Arabidopsis thaliana: one gene and its partner. The protein of the gene in region 2 interacts with the protein of the main gene of each other region in a pairwise test. Each region holds a gene or a part of one and is shown on either strand. Other genes may lie near its edges.

Region 1 (7,559 bases), 5.1 Mb from region 2:
CAATCCTCATGCGCATCACAAGAGATTTCTGCAATAAACATTAAACCCTTAGTGTTATGTTAAGTCACTGAATCCACAGGCTCAGCCTATCTTTATTTGAGCATAGATTATGTTGTGGATCATCAAGTGCTATTCATCAATGCTGAGCACGGAATGTTGAAGACATAAAGTTAGATAGAAAGACGAACAGAGAATGTGCCATACCTTCCCCTGCTGGCTGTTAGTGACTCTTAGATTCTGCGTGATGGCACCACTACCGCTTGCCAGGAGTGTGTTACTGCTAGCTGGATCCAAGTGCAGCTGGAGGAACTGGAAGTTACACAAAAGAAAGAGAAGGTTAAAGAAAAAATTGAAATCTATTTACTGCTTTATCAATTGGGAAAGATGAATAAAGGGGAAAAAAGCAAAAAAAGAAGATAGATGTAATTACCTTTGGAACAGCAGCCTGGAATATAAAATCTGTGAAAGTATTGGGAGATAAATTAGTAAAAGTAGCCTGGACATTTGTCGTTTGCAGATTCCCTGGTGTCTTTGAGAAGGTGAACTCAATCTTCAAGGAGCTGCTCTCGTATGCAACAATAGGTGCATAAGCTGGACCATTGGTGGCTGCAATAAGGAGGAAAACTTGTTATTGACCTTTGTAAAAGAGTTTCAATGATTATACAGATCTTTTTCAGGTTAAGACTTTTTCCTACCTTCCTTCGATGGGCTTGGAGAAAGACCATCTAGCAAATCAAACATACCGGTGGACGAAGTTGTTGCTACGTGAGGTGGAGCTGGTGAAGAAAGTGTGTCTAGCGCAATTGAGGGATTATTGTTAACGTCAGCTATTGATAATAAACCAATAGATGATGTGCTGTTTTGTGCAGGAGAAGGTGTTCCAATTGATAGAATATCCAGCAACAGATCTGTGCCAGCTTTTGGAGCCTGGGTTGCACCTGAATCATTGGATAAAAAATGGAAGACCAAACATGAGTTATCCTTTTGCAAGGCAATGAGGAAAATGATTTTTTTAAAAACTTGTTCATTCAGAGACACATAGCAGATGAGCACGCCATAATATGAACGCAAGAGCTGTAGAACCGCCAAAGAACTAACCATATTGTGCTGACGATGAACCTAAGTCTACACCGAGAAGATCCTGAAGGAAATCTGTACCAGATGGACTAGGTGCAGCCATGATATCGTCAGAATCTAGGTCTAGCAAGTCCACAAGAGGAGCGACAGGAAGTTTCTCAACACCATTTTGAAGGCTAACTGAAGGCTTGGCCATGGTTGAAACTGATGCAGGAAAAGAGCCGGCCCTCCTCACATTGAAAGTAGCCTCATCCAGTACCGGCATTCTGTCAACCAGAGAAGACCTGTATGCACACATACCTCTATCATGAGCTTTGAGGGAGAGAGAATATGAAAAACTTACACTAGAAGATAGATGAGGAAGAGAGGCACAAGGGATTCCACCTGATATTTTTATGCCTGTCAACTATAGAATTGTATTCAATAGCTCTCTGCTGCATTTCAAGGAGAAGGCTTCCTTTCTGCTTCACAATTATGTCTTTAATTCTCCTGTCATTGAATTTTAGAAAACTTTTTAATTATCAATAGAGAGTTGAGGACAGGATGTACATGTATAATATATTTCTAATCTTTTTTCAGAAGGCAACGCGCTACAGTTTCTTGTAGACAGACCAAAATTTATTATTCATATACTAGTGCGCATATGCATCTTGTGTAGAGTTGAAAAGGGATAAGTGCAGATATCAGATGAACGAGTTGAGATAAAAACAGATAGCACAACGAGGTCAGACATACTCTGAAATAGAAGGAAAGCGGGATGACAACTTCAGTAGAGCAACCAATGCCATTGCTTTTGTAGTCGAATCTGAGTTATGGCGAGTAATGGCATCCTCGATAACGTCCACTGCATCAGATTCCGTTACCTGCTCAAGGCAGTCACATACTCGTTGCATATTTTTCAAAGCAAAAATGAAATCCCAAGAAGCAAAAGCATCTGCATATTTATCATGGAGCAAATAATGAATTAAGATTGCCATTGTGATGCTCACCGTTATTGGATCTTCAATACCAAGCATCCCCACATTGTTAACCAACAGATCACCATATTCCCCAATGCACCATACCGCCACTCGGACAAGGGTCTCCTGGTTATCATCTCAACGAAACCATATTAGAAAGGGTTACAACTGATTGAGGACTGAGCACAATCTAACATTAGAAAATAGCTACCTGTTCCGAATAAGTCAAGACTGATTTGTACAAGGCCCTAACTGTATATCCATGAAGCTCTGATGCATTGCTTATGACAACAATAAGTGCATGCCACACATCATCTTTCACAAACTTTCCAGCCTACTAACATGGAATAGATGACAATAGGTTATGACAGATACAAACAATGCATTTGAAATTAGCTTAAGCAGATATAAACTCTCAAACGATTTCAAAGAGTGCAATTAACTGGTAACACGTTACAGAGCATATTCTCGCGTTTGAATCCATACCTCACACAGAACCTTGAGCATCTGATCAATGTACCATAGTTTTTCTGGAGAAAACCTACATTATCAAAAAATTTAAAAAGTCAACAAAAACTTCAATCAACTAGACATTCACAGTAACTTTCCAATCATCCTGACCCCCAACTTTCTCAGAGTAAGTAGTCATTCTATTTCTTAAATAGAATACTTACTTTTCAACGATAAAACAAATTTTTGCACTAAGATCTTCCTTAAAATCTTCGTCGCTGATTTCCAAATAATCAATTAGCTCCTTTGTCAGTTGTGTGACATTGTTTTCATTCACCAAAAGAGTGACAAGCTCAAGAGCTCTTTTCCGGATAGAAGCATCTGGGTCCTATATTGTTATGGAAGCAGAAACCAAATTAGCATTTTTTATTTCTCTAAGATATACTTAGCAGTTAACATTGTATAAAATATTTTCCTGGTAATACTAATACCTTCACACATTCCAAAATTGTAACTCTGTGCCTTTGCACTGCTTGATCATCGAAAGTGATAGCTTTCATCAGCATGTTTAATGCAACATATCTGAGAGAACGAAAGTATGAATTTCATAAGGGAATGCAGCGTTTTTGAGAGAAACGAAATCAAGATTAGAAAAGGCAACGCTGGTTGGTCAGAAGAGCATTGTGTGCTTCATAGAGTTAAGCACATCCAAAGAAAGATGATAGACAGAAGAAAAATACAAGTAAGCTAGTTCCATTACAAACATATATAATACCATACTATTATCAAATAAAATTGAGGTGTAGGGGGTTGAACCTGATGTTATTGTCGCGGTTAGATAAGAATCTTCCCAAGATATTGATAGCAAGCACACGCAAGCTATTGGTGTCTTCAATGGCCATGATTGTTTCAACACACTCATAGAGTACCGCATTCCCTGCGTTTTTGTTTGATTCAGTTTTTGTTGCCACCTACAATAGCATGAAACCAACGAGAATAAATATCAAAGAACCAGGATAACAAAGTATCCGACAGTAGATCCCTGACTTTGAACTCAAAAGATTTCCAAAACAAAGCATGTAACAGACGCAGGATGCATTCATCATGGTGAGATAGAAAAGGATTGGCGCAGCCTACAGATTTATATGTCCGTCCACAAATCAACACTTACTATGACAACAAAGACCGGTATCAAAAGAGGGAGAATTCAAGTACGGCAAAAACTCAGTAACCAATAAGTCTTCTATCTACCAAAGAGAATAATAGCCCATGAACCCTATCAACGAAATGAAATTCTTTCTCCATTATGCTATATTTAACAGAATCAGTTCCAGCACATGAGAGAGCATAGCTATCTTACAACATTTTTCCGAAAAAATATATGTAAGGTAACTGGAACAAAAACCATAAACCGTTGATGTTTAACAAAGGAATTACATCGCAAATGTGAAGATGGTCAACCATATCCAGAATCACTTGCTAAACTATGACTAACCTGTGCAAGTATATCTGTCATCAAATCACTAGCATCAGCATCACCCTGGCCTAAAACACGCAAGAGCCTGAGCAACCGTATGTGGAGAAAAGGGTCTGTGATCCCTGCAACATCATACTCAGGCTGATATGCGCTATTAGTAATATCCCTCAAAGTTTTTATCAGTCCCTCTGTGCATTTCTGCAGAGACAAAACAAAGACAAGGGTTTGTCAAAACTGACGGTCTGATAAAACAATATAACAACCTGATTGTCTGCCTCATTTCAGCAGAGTAATCTATTTATAAGTGAATACCACAGATATCAAACTTTATTGCAAGAGAAAAATAGTACACAAAAGCATCATACAGGTAATATAGTATCATATGTACGCATATTCAATTAAATTACGTCGATGCTCCTGTATGCATAAGTAGAGTGTTCTGTATAATATTTATAGACTTACCGTTCTGAAGTACTCTAGGGCTTCATCATTAATCGTGCATAATTCATAACAAAGTTGAACTCCTGTTATAAGAACCCCATGATGCTTTTCTTTAAGCAAGGAAGCAGCAGCATTTACGAAGTTTTCTGCTAGATCTGGAACTTTCCTTATTATTCTAGTAGAGCAAAGCGCCGCCTGCATATAATACAACATAAATGGTAAAGGCAATGAAGGAAAAAAAAAAAGCGACTAAACTCCAGGAGACCCTGTATATGAATTAGAAAACACTTCACCTTCTTTCGGATATTAGGGTCACGAAACTGGATTAATCTTTCTACTTCTGGCGCAAGATCACGGGCCATTTCTGCTGAACAAATATTCCCTAAAGCACAGAGAGCAAGTCCTACAACATACTGGTTCGAGTGATTAAGATCTCTGCACGTGACTTAAGGTTAAACAGGAACAAATCTATTTAAATATTTTTCTCCTTAATTCCCATAACAGCAATGCAATCAAAAATCAAGTGTTCTCTAGTATTTTTTAACATAGAAGAAGAATCCATTCAAAGGCCAAGGTATCAAGATTTAATACTAGAAATTAGTAAGGATACTGTTTTAACGAATTTGTGACAAGCATCAACACTTCTTGTCTCTCATCAAGAAGCAACATTAGCCCTAGATATCCAATCCTCTTCTCTGGAAATCCAGGAGATGCAATTAGCTTCAAGCACTCCATCTGCCCAAAGTGTGTGGGATAACCCAGCATGTGTATAAACATGAGTTTCGCAAGGTTCCGGTGCCGATCATGCGGGTCATCTTCATTAATCAATGCTCGAATATCGGCACACTCCTTTCTTACAACAGCTCGCTCCTCCGCAGCTGTTTTGCATGCTCTTATGGCACGGATCATGTCCCTGAATCATACTCATATGTCCACTATAACTTCAGAACCATATACAATAATCCGATCTGATTCCACTATTAAACCCCAACAGCAACATGACCAATCCAATATTCAATTAAATTAAGCAAAAGGATTACCAAAAATCCTTAGTGTGATCATGTTCTTAGACTAAAATCAAAATTCTAAATGGAATCAGAAACACCAATACCAAATTCATCTTCGAAACAGGCCAATCAACAAAATTCAATCCTCAAATGAAAACGAGCTCAATTACATCATGTTATATTCAAATTTCATTTGTAAGCTGATCAACGACTAAGAAACCTGAAACAGAAACGATAAAAAGGAAAGAAGAGAATCAATTTACCTTAAACGAGTACCAGAAGAAAAGGGATTCATGATTTGGGGTGTTCAAGAGTTGGACCTTGGTCCACCGGCAACTTTACGAGGAATCTGAAGAAAATGAAAACTTAGCCGGGAAGAAGAGTTTCGCCGCCGGGATTGTGAAAATCCGTTACCGGAGTTTCGAGTAGCTGATCAATACGAGAGAGAGAGATGAAAATGAAACTGAGGATTTGGATCTCGATGGACGATGCTCGTTTTTTTCTTCTCAGTCTTCGTAAACCATAATTGCCAAATTAAATGCGTTGTATAAACATGACTTCCATTTCCACCTAAACGGTAACGTTTCGACCAGCAATCCTCTCAAAACAAAAACATAGACTGGGCCGTTTCTTTATAGTTAAACACATAAATGGGCCCTACTTGGGCCGTTTTTATTAGTCAAATTTGAGAGGGTCGATGATACGCGCTCTTTCATTGGTTGTTACACAAATTCTCCCCTACACTTGAACACATCATAGTATCGCTCAGGCCCTAGTATCTTTTTAAAACCTTTAAAGATGCTAAGCAGCAAAAATAAGTAACACAACACAAGTTACACAGAACAGTCGCTTTCTCCTCTCGATTTTGACATGGCTTGGGGATTTTCGTCCGTGTCTCTCTTCTTGTTCGTCGTTTTCAATCTGGGTATATTTTCAAAAATCTGTTAATTCAGTTGAATTTCCCAACCCAAAATTCGAATTTTTAATTTTCCTCATGATTTTGTTACAGTGAGTGGTAAGATAGTTTTAGAAGAAGGGTACGAAGTCACAACGGTGGTCGATGGCCATAAGTCTGGTCTGAATCCATACACGATTCATGCTTTACCAGGATCTTCTAATCTGATCGTCCTTGATTCTTCCGGCAGTACATTTTACACTACTTCCTTTCCTTTGTCCGTTGGTAAACACCCACAAAACCACTCTTTTGTCTCATCTATTAATCGGATCATTATAATTGTGTTTGTATATGAGTTGTAAATTCATGGATGCATAAGTAAATGTTTAGAGCTTGTTGATTTTGATTGCAAGTCTTGACCTTCATTTTTTCTTTCTCCGTAATCTCAAATTGGACCACAATACTAATATGTGTGTGTATGTGTGTGAAACGATCAACCTGCAAATAAAAGTTCTAAACTTTACTATAAGTGAAAATTTTGTTTATCTTTCTTTCAATTGAAGTTTGAGCTCACTTTGAGTATGTGTGTGTGGTTGTGCAGATAGTGTGATAAACCGGTTTGCTGGGGATGGGAGTTCGGGTCATGTAGATGGTAAAGCTGGTAACAGCCGGTTCAGCAAACCCCGTGGTTTTGCTGTGGATGCTAAAGGGAATGTTTATGTTGCTGATAAGAGTAATAAAGCTATACGGAAGATCAGCTCTTCAGGTGTTTGTTTAATCCATTTCTTGTATTCCTTTTGTATAAATGCTAGTTGTTGTTGTTGTCTAATCTTAGTTTGTTGAAAGAGCCACTTAGTTTATTTTGATTATGCATGTTTTATTTACTGGACTTTGTAGGTTCTGTAACCACCATTGCTGGAGGGATCTCAAAGGCATTTGGACACAGAGATGGACCTGCACAGAATGCTACTTTCTCTAGCGATTTCGAGATAACTTTTGTTCCTCAAAGATGTTGTTTGCTTGTTTCTGATCATGGAAATGAAATGATTCGCCAGATAAATCTTAAGGAGGAGGATTGCCTCGAAAACTCTCATTCTAGTATGTCTTTTCTATAAGTAATCTTTTGTGGATTTGACTAACCATGCCTTTGGAAACTTCAACGATTCTTCTTTCACTGTTTCAGATTTGGGGACATACTCTCTTTGGTCAATAGGGATTGTCCTTTCCTGCATTCTCGGGGTAGCCATTGGATT
Region 2 (7,856 bases):
CTACTTGACAAAGAACAACAGCCTGTTCATGGTCAATTCACATCGCTTAGTAGCATGACCGAGGAATCTCTGTAAGAGAAAAGAGATGGACAAGAAAATTTAGAGCTTTCGAGCTTTTGCATAAGGATAGTTCACCTTTGGAACATTGGCTGCAAGGCTGTTAAGAACAGCTTCAACGTAACCCCGTACTTCTTGGGACATCCACCGGAGCTCCTCTTCTGGATCGATGGGTTTCCTAACCATCTTATCCTGAAATACAGACAAGGAAAAAAACGTAAGTCTCAGAAAATATTATAAACAATAAAAACCTTAAATGTCAAACATAACTTATGTCAAGTTTAAAAGTAGTATCATGCATACCCCATAAACTGAGCCTTCTATAGGAAAAATGTTTCAATAATAAAAATTCGACAATGTTCAATAAAACATAAATAGCTTTGTTTGCTCTTCCAACAGTTTCAAACCTTCCGAAGTGAAGTTTCAAACTTTCTTCATAGTGATAATAAGTAATCCATAAGACTAGTGAACGTATCTAACATAGATTTAAGGAAGAGGAAATGTAAGAAAAGCTGCCCATGAGTGACTCACAAGTGAACCTTCTGAAAGACTCTGCCTCATGGAAACACTGCCCACTTGGCCTCCACGAGCCTGGATAACCTTTTGCAACTTATTAATCCACTCGTTCTTGTCGACTACACTCTCAGCCTTAAGCACAAGGGCATTGTGAGCTGCAACATAATAGTTTGAGGAAAACTCATAAAAGTGCGAATAGAAGATTAAGAAGTTTGAATTCTTATAATGATTGATTTATGTACCTTTGAGTACAGTCTTATAGGGAACCTTGCAGGTTATTTTAAACACAAGGCCTGGTCCTTTTGAATCAGGTCCATTTGCCTTCTTGTCCTTCGAGCTCTTTGACTTTTCTACTTCGTCCTCGGGGATTTCTTCAATAGTGCATTCCTGAGTGGATTAATAAAGTTGGAGGAAGTATAATTAGAAAAACATGGAAAAAATGTTATCTATAGAGTATCCAAATTTCTCATCGATAATAACAGAACTATTAAATATTTGAAGCATAAGCTTCAAAATACACAAGTAATTGTCACTCTCCAAGAAGGAAACAGTGTGGGAGAAAATAACAAGGTGAATACGAACTATATTCTTCTCTAATTCTTTTTTCCATGTCATATCTAATTATAGTTCACCTTTGGCAGAAAATAAAGCATAGGAAGAGAATGGTACCTCCAAAGTTATCGTGCCCCGAAAGTTTCTTTCTTCTTGCTTTTTGGTATAGCCAAGCTAGAAAAAGGTAAACAGTAAAGTCAGTAAGTTCTCAACAACTGAAGAATATACGTTTCAAAATGCTGACCTTTCCAGTTTTCTCATTCAGAACAAACCATCGCCTACTCCACCCATTTGTTTTTGCACTTTTCTTCATTAAGTACCCTAAATGAAAAGAGTAAGTATTTGTTATCTACCTTGGAAGTTAGTTTTGTCAAGTTAGTTTTAAGTGATAAAGAAGAAAAAGACATGAAGAAATCATGCACTTGGACTAAGAGCAAAGCTTTGCAGCAATAAAATCATGCAACGTAAGGAAAGCAAATCGGGAGTGAAAAAGCAGAATGAAACTTTTTAGACAGTAACTGGGTAGATGTATATTAGAATAACAACCTGCTGTTATCTCCCCCTCAGGTCCAGCAGTTTTCAGACCAGAGACCTCCGGCGTCTCTTTATCTTGCGGACTAGGTTTGTCTTTCATTGATTTTAAGCTACCACCAGCTGTTGGCCCATCTGGCTGAGGACTAGTAGCCTGATAAACATATATGTAGAGAATTTCCACATTATATATTTTCATGTAAAACGATAAAAAAAAAAAAAAAACATTTTTCACTACGTATATCCAAATTGATACAGAATGAACACACACCCTGCTTAAAAGGGACTGCTCTGCATCTTGTCCCTTCTTAGAAGATCGCCCTTTCAGCTCTTCCTCGCGACGTTGTCTTTCCATTCTGATGGAGTCAATACAGTGCATCGTCAGAAAGAGAAATAATTTTCAGTCATGAACCATTGAAAATAAAAACAAAAATTGCAAAGAAAGACAAGCCAAAATACCTCCTTTGCACAAGACGGATAAAATGTTGAGGTGGTACAAAAGCGCGTTCCATATCAACTAGTGCAACCACCATTTTCTTGGCTTCATTCTTGAAACCATCAAGTGCTGCACTTGCTATAGCTACAACCTGGTTGATGATTAGTCAGAAAGGAATAACTGTTACCGAAATGATAAAATATTACTGAATAAAGCACCAAAAAATCATTATTACCTCTCGCTTGAAAGGAGGATATCTCCCAAGTCCAGGTGTAGCATTTGCAGAAGCTGAAACTATGTCAACAAGAACTCGGTGAACCTAATCAAAAGTTAAGACCATGTTAGCTCAACACGTAAATAAGACAGAAGCTGGATGCATGAGTTTTAAAGTAGGAACCAAAAAATAGCTACATCTACGGTAAGGGATATTAACTTACTAAGGCTTATAAACCAGAAAACTTGACAGAACTCTAAATAACAGTTCGAAGAATTAAAGTGAGACAAGCCATAGCCAGTTCACAATGCAGTAAATTTCTAAAATTCAATCCTACTGCATGTACCTAAAAAAACATGTAAACAAGCACACCTCATCAACACAAAGGCGTGCCGGGTCTTTAGCCAACTCAAGGACAATCTTTATCAACGATCTCAACCCTTTCTCTGGAGATATAAGATAAGGTTGATAACCATCTGCCTCCAAAACAACCTGAAAATCAAAGATATTTTGACAAATCAAGTCTCAAAACTTGTCTCGTGCAGAAACTTAGGACAGAAGAAGACACCCACCCTTTTAACATTGTTCAGGTCAAAATGTCTATCCAATGGAAGCTGCTTGATACGGTTGGGGAAATTTCCTTCAAAACTTGCAACAACTTTCCAACCACTTCCCTGAACAAGAATCAAAAAGTTTTGAGAAAAACATTTGCCAAGCTCCAAAAGGGACTTCAGCCCATAAACTGAACACAGACAAGTACAAAAACTCTATATCAAACACTCAGTTGGCTTATACACATATTATAAACATCCACTATCAGATTCATGAGATTCCCAACAATATAATGTGCTCTTACCAAGCGTAGGCTAGCAAGAGACTTTCCACTACACTAGTACCAAATCTGAAATGGCTGATTGCTAATATTTGAAGAGTTCTTCTCTCTCACTATATTCTTGAATTTTCGACTAAATCTAGTTAACTTTTGTAAGAATGTACTTACTTCACCACCAGCCAAGTGCAGAAGAAACTTGTCTTCAAACTCACGGCAAAGCTCCAAAGCTATAGCCCTTGTACCTTCAGCACTGTTAACTAGTTGTTCACCAAGCCTCGCTAGCTCATCCTGCACTATTTGAGACTTACCCTGGAGCCTGTACAAAGAATTTGAAAGCCATATGCGTTCAAGCAACCAATGTCATATGCCAACACCATAATAAAAATCATGAAGAAAGCACATATATGGAGAGAAGCAATACCCAGACAGGACACTTGGAAGCCTGAGCTTCATTCTGCTACGAATCTGGCTAGCAAGGGTATCCACCAACGCAATTCTGCCAAGCTTGCTTTGTGGAGCCCCAGTCAAAATGGACTTAAGACTTTCACTCTCAGCACGCCAAGCAGTTTCTAAGGAGTTCTCACCACTTCCAGACTGTGCTGACGCAATTGAAACGGATTGGCCAATAACAGCAACCCATGGAATGTCAGTTGTTTTTGGAGGTCCTTGATTTGAAAGAAGAGCCTGAACAGCTGCAAGGGCTTTCGAGTTCTCTGCTGCCTGGTCAATTTTTCCAATAATGCCTATTGTCCTAGTACCTATAAGTAGGGAGGAGTGATGTTAGCTAATGAGTATTTTAAGCAAACTGAAGTGATAATAGGTAGGTAAATCAACAGTTCTTATCAGGTATACAAATAATAAACAATATTAAGATAAGACAGATCGGAAATACAGATGTACTCACTCTCTGGATCATACTCCTTTGCAATCTTCAGGGCTCGGGATGATGAAATTTCAGATGCCTGGCTAGCAGGCACTATAACCAGCAGTATGGCATCATTGTGTTGCGCGTATTCAGCAATCTTGCAAAGAGACCCAAGAAACAAACAACAATTTCAAAAGGATAAACATGATAATGAATCTATATTATCACTTCAGTAGGAAACCGATAAAAATAGTCAAAATCTTTTGTTTCGTGGTTGTCAGGCAAGTTAAGGATATGACAATGGCATTAAGTAGTTCCAAGCCTCACCATTGACTCGTCCACAATTCTCTGGTCCAGTCCAGGCAGATCAACTAATTTCAATGGTGGAGCTGCAATGTAAAGGGTAAACGTAACAGGTTATGATGGTCAAAGAAAATTTAATACTACGAAACTGTCGGTCATATGTCATATGTCATAACTCATGTTCAAAAGAGTGTGTACTGTTTATGTTAAAGCTCCGTTAGATATTTAATCTGATACCCACCAAAGTAAAGCTAGAAGCTCTAAACTAGTGTACTAGATAGTATATAAGGATAGCAAGATATTACAGCTGACCAGTTCACGGGTATCAAAGATAAATTCATACACCCAACTTAGGTTAGCTAAGGATGTGCTATTTGAAGAGTAGATATAGGCTTGCCACTTATGATTGTGCAAGTAAAAAGGGGCTTACCTGTGCTGGTACGAAGTTTTAAGTTTATTTCATCACGATTCTTCCCTGAGGCTCCTTTGCTAAGTCTATCTTGCAGAGAATGTCTCAAAGCACCTAAAATATACCCATGTAGAACACAATGGAGATATTATGAGAAGACTGATCGAAATTTTTTTATCATAAATGCAGAAAGAGCCTCACATAGCATTGCTAAATTGCATATGTTCATAGATAGAGACTTACTTGCAGAAACTTGTTGAGATTTATTGTCGATTTGCAAGATAATTGCCTTGCTGCTCAAAGAACTCTCCCTGCTCAATTCAATTATTATAGGAGCTCGTGTAGCACCATTCTCACCCGTCGGCTGTGTATAGTAAGTGTAGCAGACACAACAGAGGTCAGTATTAGTATAAGAAAAGGAGTAAGCCAATAATAACCATAGACTCAATGTACAACTTACCAGCACTGGATGCCCAATTAGACTGTTTAGAACTGCAGACTTTCCAGCTCCCTGGTTCAGTATGCAAAAAGAGATAAGTAACAAATAACAAAATACATCAGCCTTCTCCGGCACGAGTCGCTCCTCATGTAACCATATATCCACTAATAAAGAGAATCCCAACAAAACTAGCTATAAACGATGAGTGTGTCCTAGCAAAATTCGATAAAAACCTAATCTAGATCCAGAAGATCCACGATATGGCAATCCAACATACACTCGAACACAGAATAAAACCAGCACGAGCCTAAAGAGAGGAAAATCGAGGAGCGTGGAGTGAGAGCGAGGAACTCACCACATTTCCCAAGGCAACGACGTTGAGGAAAGTGGCAGGGCGCTTGGAAGAAGAGGTTTCGTCGGGATCTTCGTCGGCGAGGAGAGACGCCGCCTGCTTCATCGAATCTGAGAGCTGAGACAACTCATCGATCGCCTCCATCGCGACTAGCAAAAGCCCTCCGCGAATCGAGATCGAGTAACCGATTCAAAGTGAAGAGATCTGGAGGAAGAAGGAAGCCACTCGATTAGATCTGAGCAGACCGGAACCGAAATCGGCGGCAATAGGCGGGGTCTTTCCCGGTGAGACGATGGGCCGGAATTTGGAATCCGGTCGCGATGGTGTTAAGCTAAGATTTTTCGTTGGGGATTTCGTAAGGGAAGGCAGAAATGAGCGAAGACGAGGTCATAAAGAGGACGTACGTAAGATTTCACAATTACACGGGACAAGATTCAAATTTCAAAAGACTTACAAAAATCATATCTTTCTAATTTTTTTCTGATCGGTCTCAAGTGCTTCTTCTTTTTCTTACTTAAAAAAAAAAAAAAAAAAACAATGTGATGTGAAATACACATAAAAAAATAAAAAAAAATTATCAGTTCATTTAACAATTTATCATCTATTAGATCCATTCATATAACATTAGATGATGTTGGAATCCCACATTACTAAATCAATGTGAAGGTTCAAATAAAAATGTAATCAAATGTTGTTGTGGATCTCGTTGTTGTTCATATAGTTCTCGCGACATAATTTACCTCAAGGGAAGGCAAACAAAAAATCTATTCACAAGGTGTAACTATTTTCGTAAACTATTATAGTTTTTTTTTGGACAAACAACCCCTACTAAAATCTATTTGGTGTATGTTTTTTGAATAATTGATCCTACCAACCTAATTTTTTTGAACTATATGTGTTTTTTGTTGCCTGAATCTCATCTTCCCTTCTTTAGAACTGTTGTCTATCATCATACCTTCCAACATCTTAGGACTAGTTTGGCAATGTTGACAATTCTTTGTGATGTATGACAAGTATAATTATAAGGAAAAAATAAATAAACATTGGACATAAAAATCAGAAATTTCCAAGCTAACTATATGAAATTTCTAGGCACATTTCTTGGTTCTTTTGATACCATTTCTTTTTCCTTTTGGACATCTGGATATCATATTGTTTGTTTGGGATACTAGTTCTTCCCAAGTTTTTAATCTTAATTAGCTGCTTTGGATCCTTAATAGAAAAATAAACATTTCATATATTCCGGAAATTAGTATAGCCATCGGTTTTAGATTTTCTGGTGATTAAGATATAAGAAGATATTTTTTCAAATATAATAATGAAAAAACAAAATCTACAAATCATTAAAAAGGAAAAAAAAAATCAAAATTAGAATACAATACATTGTCTCAATACTATAACATAACCAAAAGAAGCATCAATAAATTTTACTAATAGTTAATAAGTACAGAAAAAATCGAAAAATTCTAGAAATGTTAAAAGTAATTTTTTTAAAAATAGTAAGGATATAGAAATTAGATAATCAATAAGTTTGACTACTGGATATCTAGAATTATTTCTATAAAAAAAAAAGTGAAATGTCGGACCAAAGAGTTGACGAGCACTAAACCACGTCACAATTAAACGTGGGCCCTCCGGCCCAATAACTTAAAACCAATAGATTATTCCCATCTGGCAAGATCTGCGGACTTTGAACTCGTTATGCTTTTCGACGTGGAGTTTTAAACTCAATTAATCTAATTAAATTAAGCATAACATTCCAATTAATTTTGTTCTTTTATATATATAAGATCAAAATCAACCACACACACACATAGATTTCAACTGGAAGAAACAAAAGACCAGATTTGTTTATGTTTCTTCTTCTTCTTCTTCCTCTCTGCATGAAATTCAGTTTCTGATCTGTTTCAGTCATCGTTTCTCACTTTCCTCGAAGATTTCCACAGATCCAATTTCCATTTATCCACTTACCTTTTTCGATTTCGTTTGATCCTTGGATTTAATTATATGTTACAAATTTAGGAAATTTCTCGAGGAGATTGAATGCAATGGATTTGTGCTTGAAACAATCAGATTCTCTTTGAATCATAAGAATGTTTCCCTGAAACTTTATTTTTGGGGAACAGAGATCATCACTGTGTTGTTGTTTGGGTAGACAAGTTTTGAGTTTCTCGAACAATGGCGAGAGGAGGGAAAGAGGAAGGAGAAAAACACATAGGGTTACTAAAGCTGGCGCAAACGCTGTCGTTTTTGCTAATTTTCATGGCTGGAATCATCATCGGTCTCGCCGCAAGTTCTCACATCGATCGCTACTTCAATTCTTTGCCGAGGATGTTCTCATCAACCACTA

Evidence for each region. The genes of interacting proteins can lie anywhere in the genome.
Region 1: the proteins of ADL6 (region 2) and GAMMA-ADAPTIN 1 interact in a two-hybrid assay, tested with the Arabidopsis thaliana proteins (one study listed by BioGRID).

The regions. Positions count from the first base shown.
Region 1 is NC_003070.9:8,439,526-8,447,084, reverse strand, and holds the start of GAMMA-ADAPTIN 1 (gamma-adaptin 1), read right to left. Parts: upstream 6,007-7,559; 5' UTR 5,707-6,006; coding exon 5,675-5,706; intron 5,632-5,674; exon of another isoform or gene 5,318-5,631; coding exon 5,015-5,317; intron 4,840-5,014; coding exon 4,698-4,839; intron 4,600-4,697; coding exon 4,426-4,599; intron 4,162-4,425; coding exon 3,982-4,161; intron 3,458-3,981; coding exon 3,303-3,457; intron 3,069-3,302; coding exon 2,978-3,068; intron 2,875-2,977; coding exon 2,711-2,874; intron 2,578-2,710; coding exon 2,523-2,577; intron 2,371-2,522; coding exon 2,248-2,370; intron 2,163-2,247; coding exon 2,067-2,162; intron 1,941-2,066; coding exon 1,813-1,940; intron 1,567-1,812; coding exon 1,462-1,566; intron 1,362-1,461; coding exon 1,099-1,361; intron 939-1,098; coding exon 696-938; intron 607-695; coding exon 431-606; intron 310-430; coding exon 205-309; intron 29-204; coding exon 1-28. Other genes in the region: AT1G23890 (NHL domain-containing protein), read left to right, coding at 6,282-6,336, 6,421-6,591, 6,908-7,072, 7,204-7,404, 7,490-7,559. UniProt on the Arabidopsis thaliana protein: Subunit of clathrin-associated adaptor protein complex 1 that plays a role in protein sorting at the trans-Golgi network and early endosomes (TGN/EE).
Region 2 is NC_003070.9:3,368,568-3,376,423, reverse strand, and holds the start of ADL6 (dynamin-like protein 6), read right to left. Parts: upstream 6,023-7,856; 5' UTR 5,651-6,022; coding exon 5,510-5,650; intron 5,227-5,509; coding exon 5,176-5,226; intron 5,080-5,175; coding exon 4,959-5,079; intron 4,830-4,958; coding exon 4,737-4,829; intron 4,393-4,736; coding exon 4,331-4,392; intron 4,161-4,330; coding exon 4,043-4,160; intron 3,897-4,042; coding exon 3,560-3,896; intron 3,455-3,559; coding exon 3,307-3,454; intron 2,981-3,306; coding exon 2,879-2,980; intron 2,799-2,878; coding exon 2,679-2,798; intron 2,412-2,678; coding exon 2,328-2,411; intron 2,244-2,327; coding exon 2,116-2,243; intron 2,013-2,115; coding exon 1,928-2,012; intron 1,811-1,927; coding exon 1,672-1,810; intron 1,447-1,671; coding exon 1,370-1,446; intron 1,300-1,369; coding exon 1,243-1,299; intron 961-1,242; coding exon 816-960; intron 729-815; coding exon 589-728; intron 250-588; coding exon 136-249; intron 23-135; and 1 more. Other genes in the region: AT1G10280 (Core-2/I-branching beta-1,6-N-acetylglucosaminyltransferase family protein), read left to right, coding at 7,685-7,856. UniProt on the Arabidopsis thaliana protein: Microtubule-associated force-producing protein involved in clathrin-mediated vesicle trafficking from the trans-Golgi network to the central vacuole. Able to bind and hydrolyze GTP. Binds specifically to phosphatidylinositol 3-phosphate (PtdIns3P).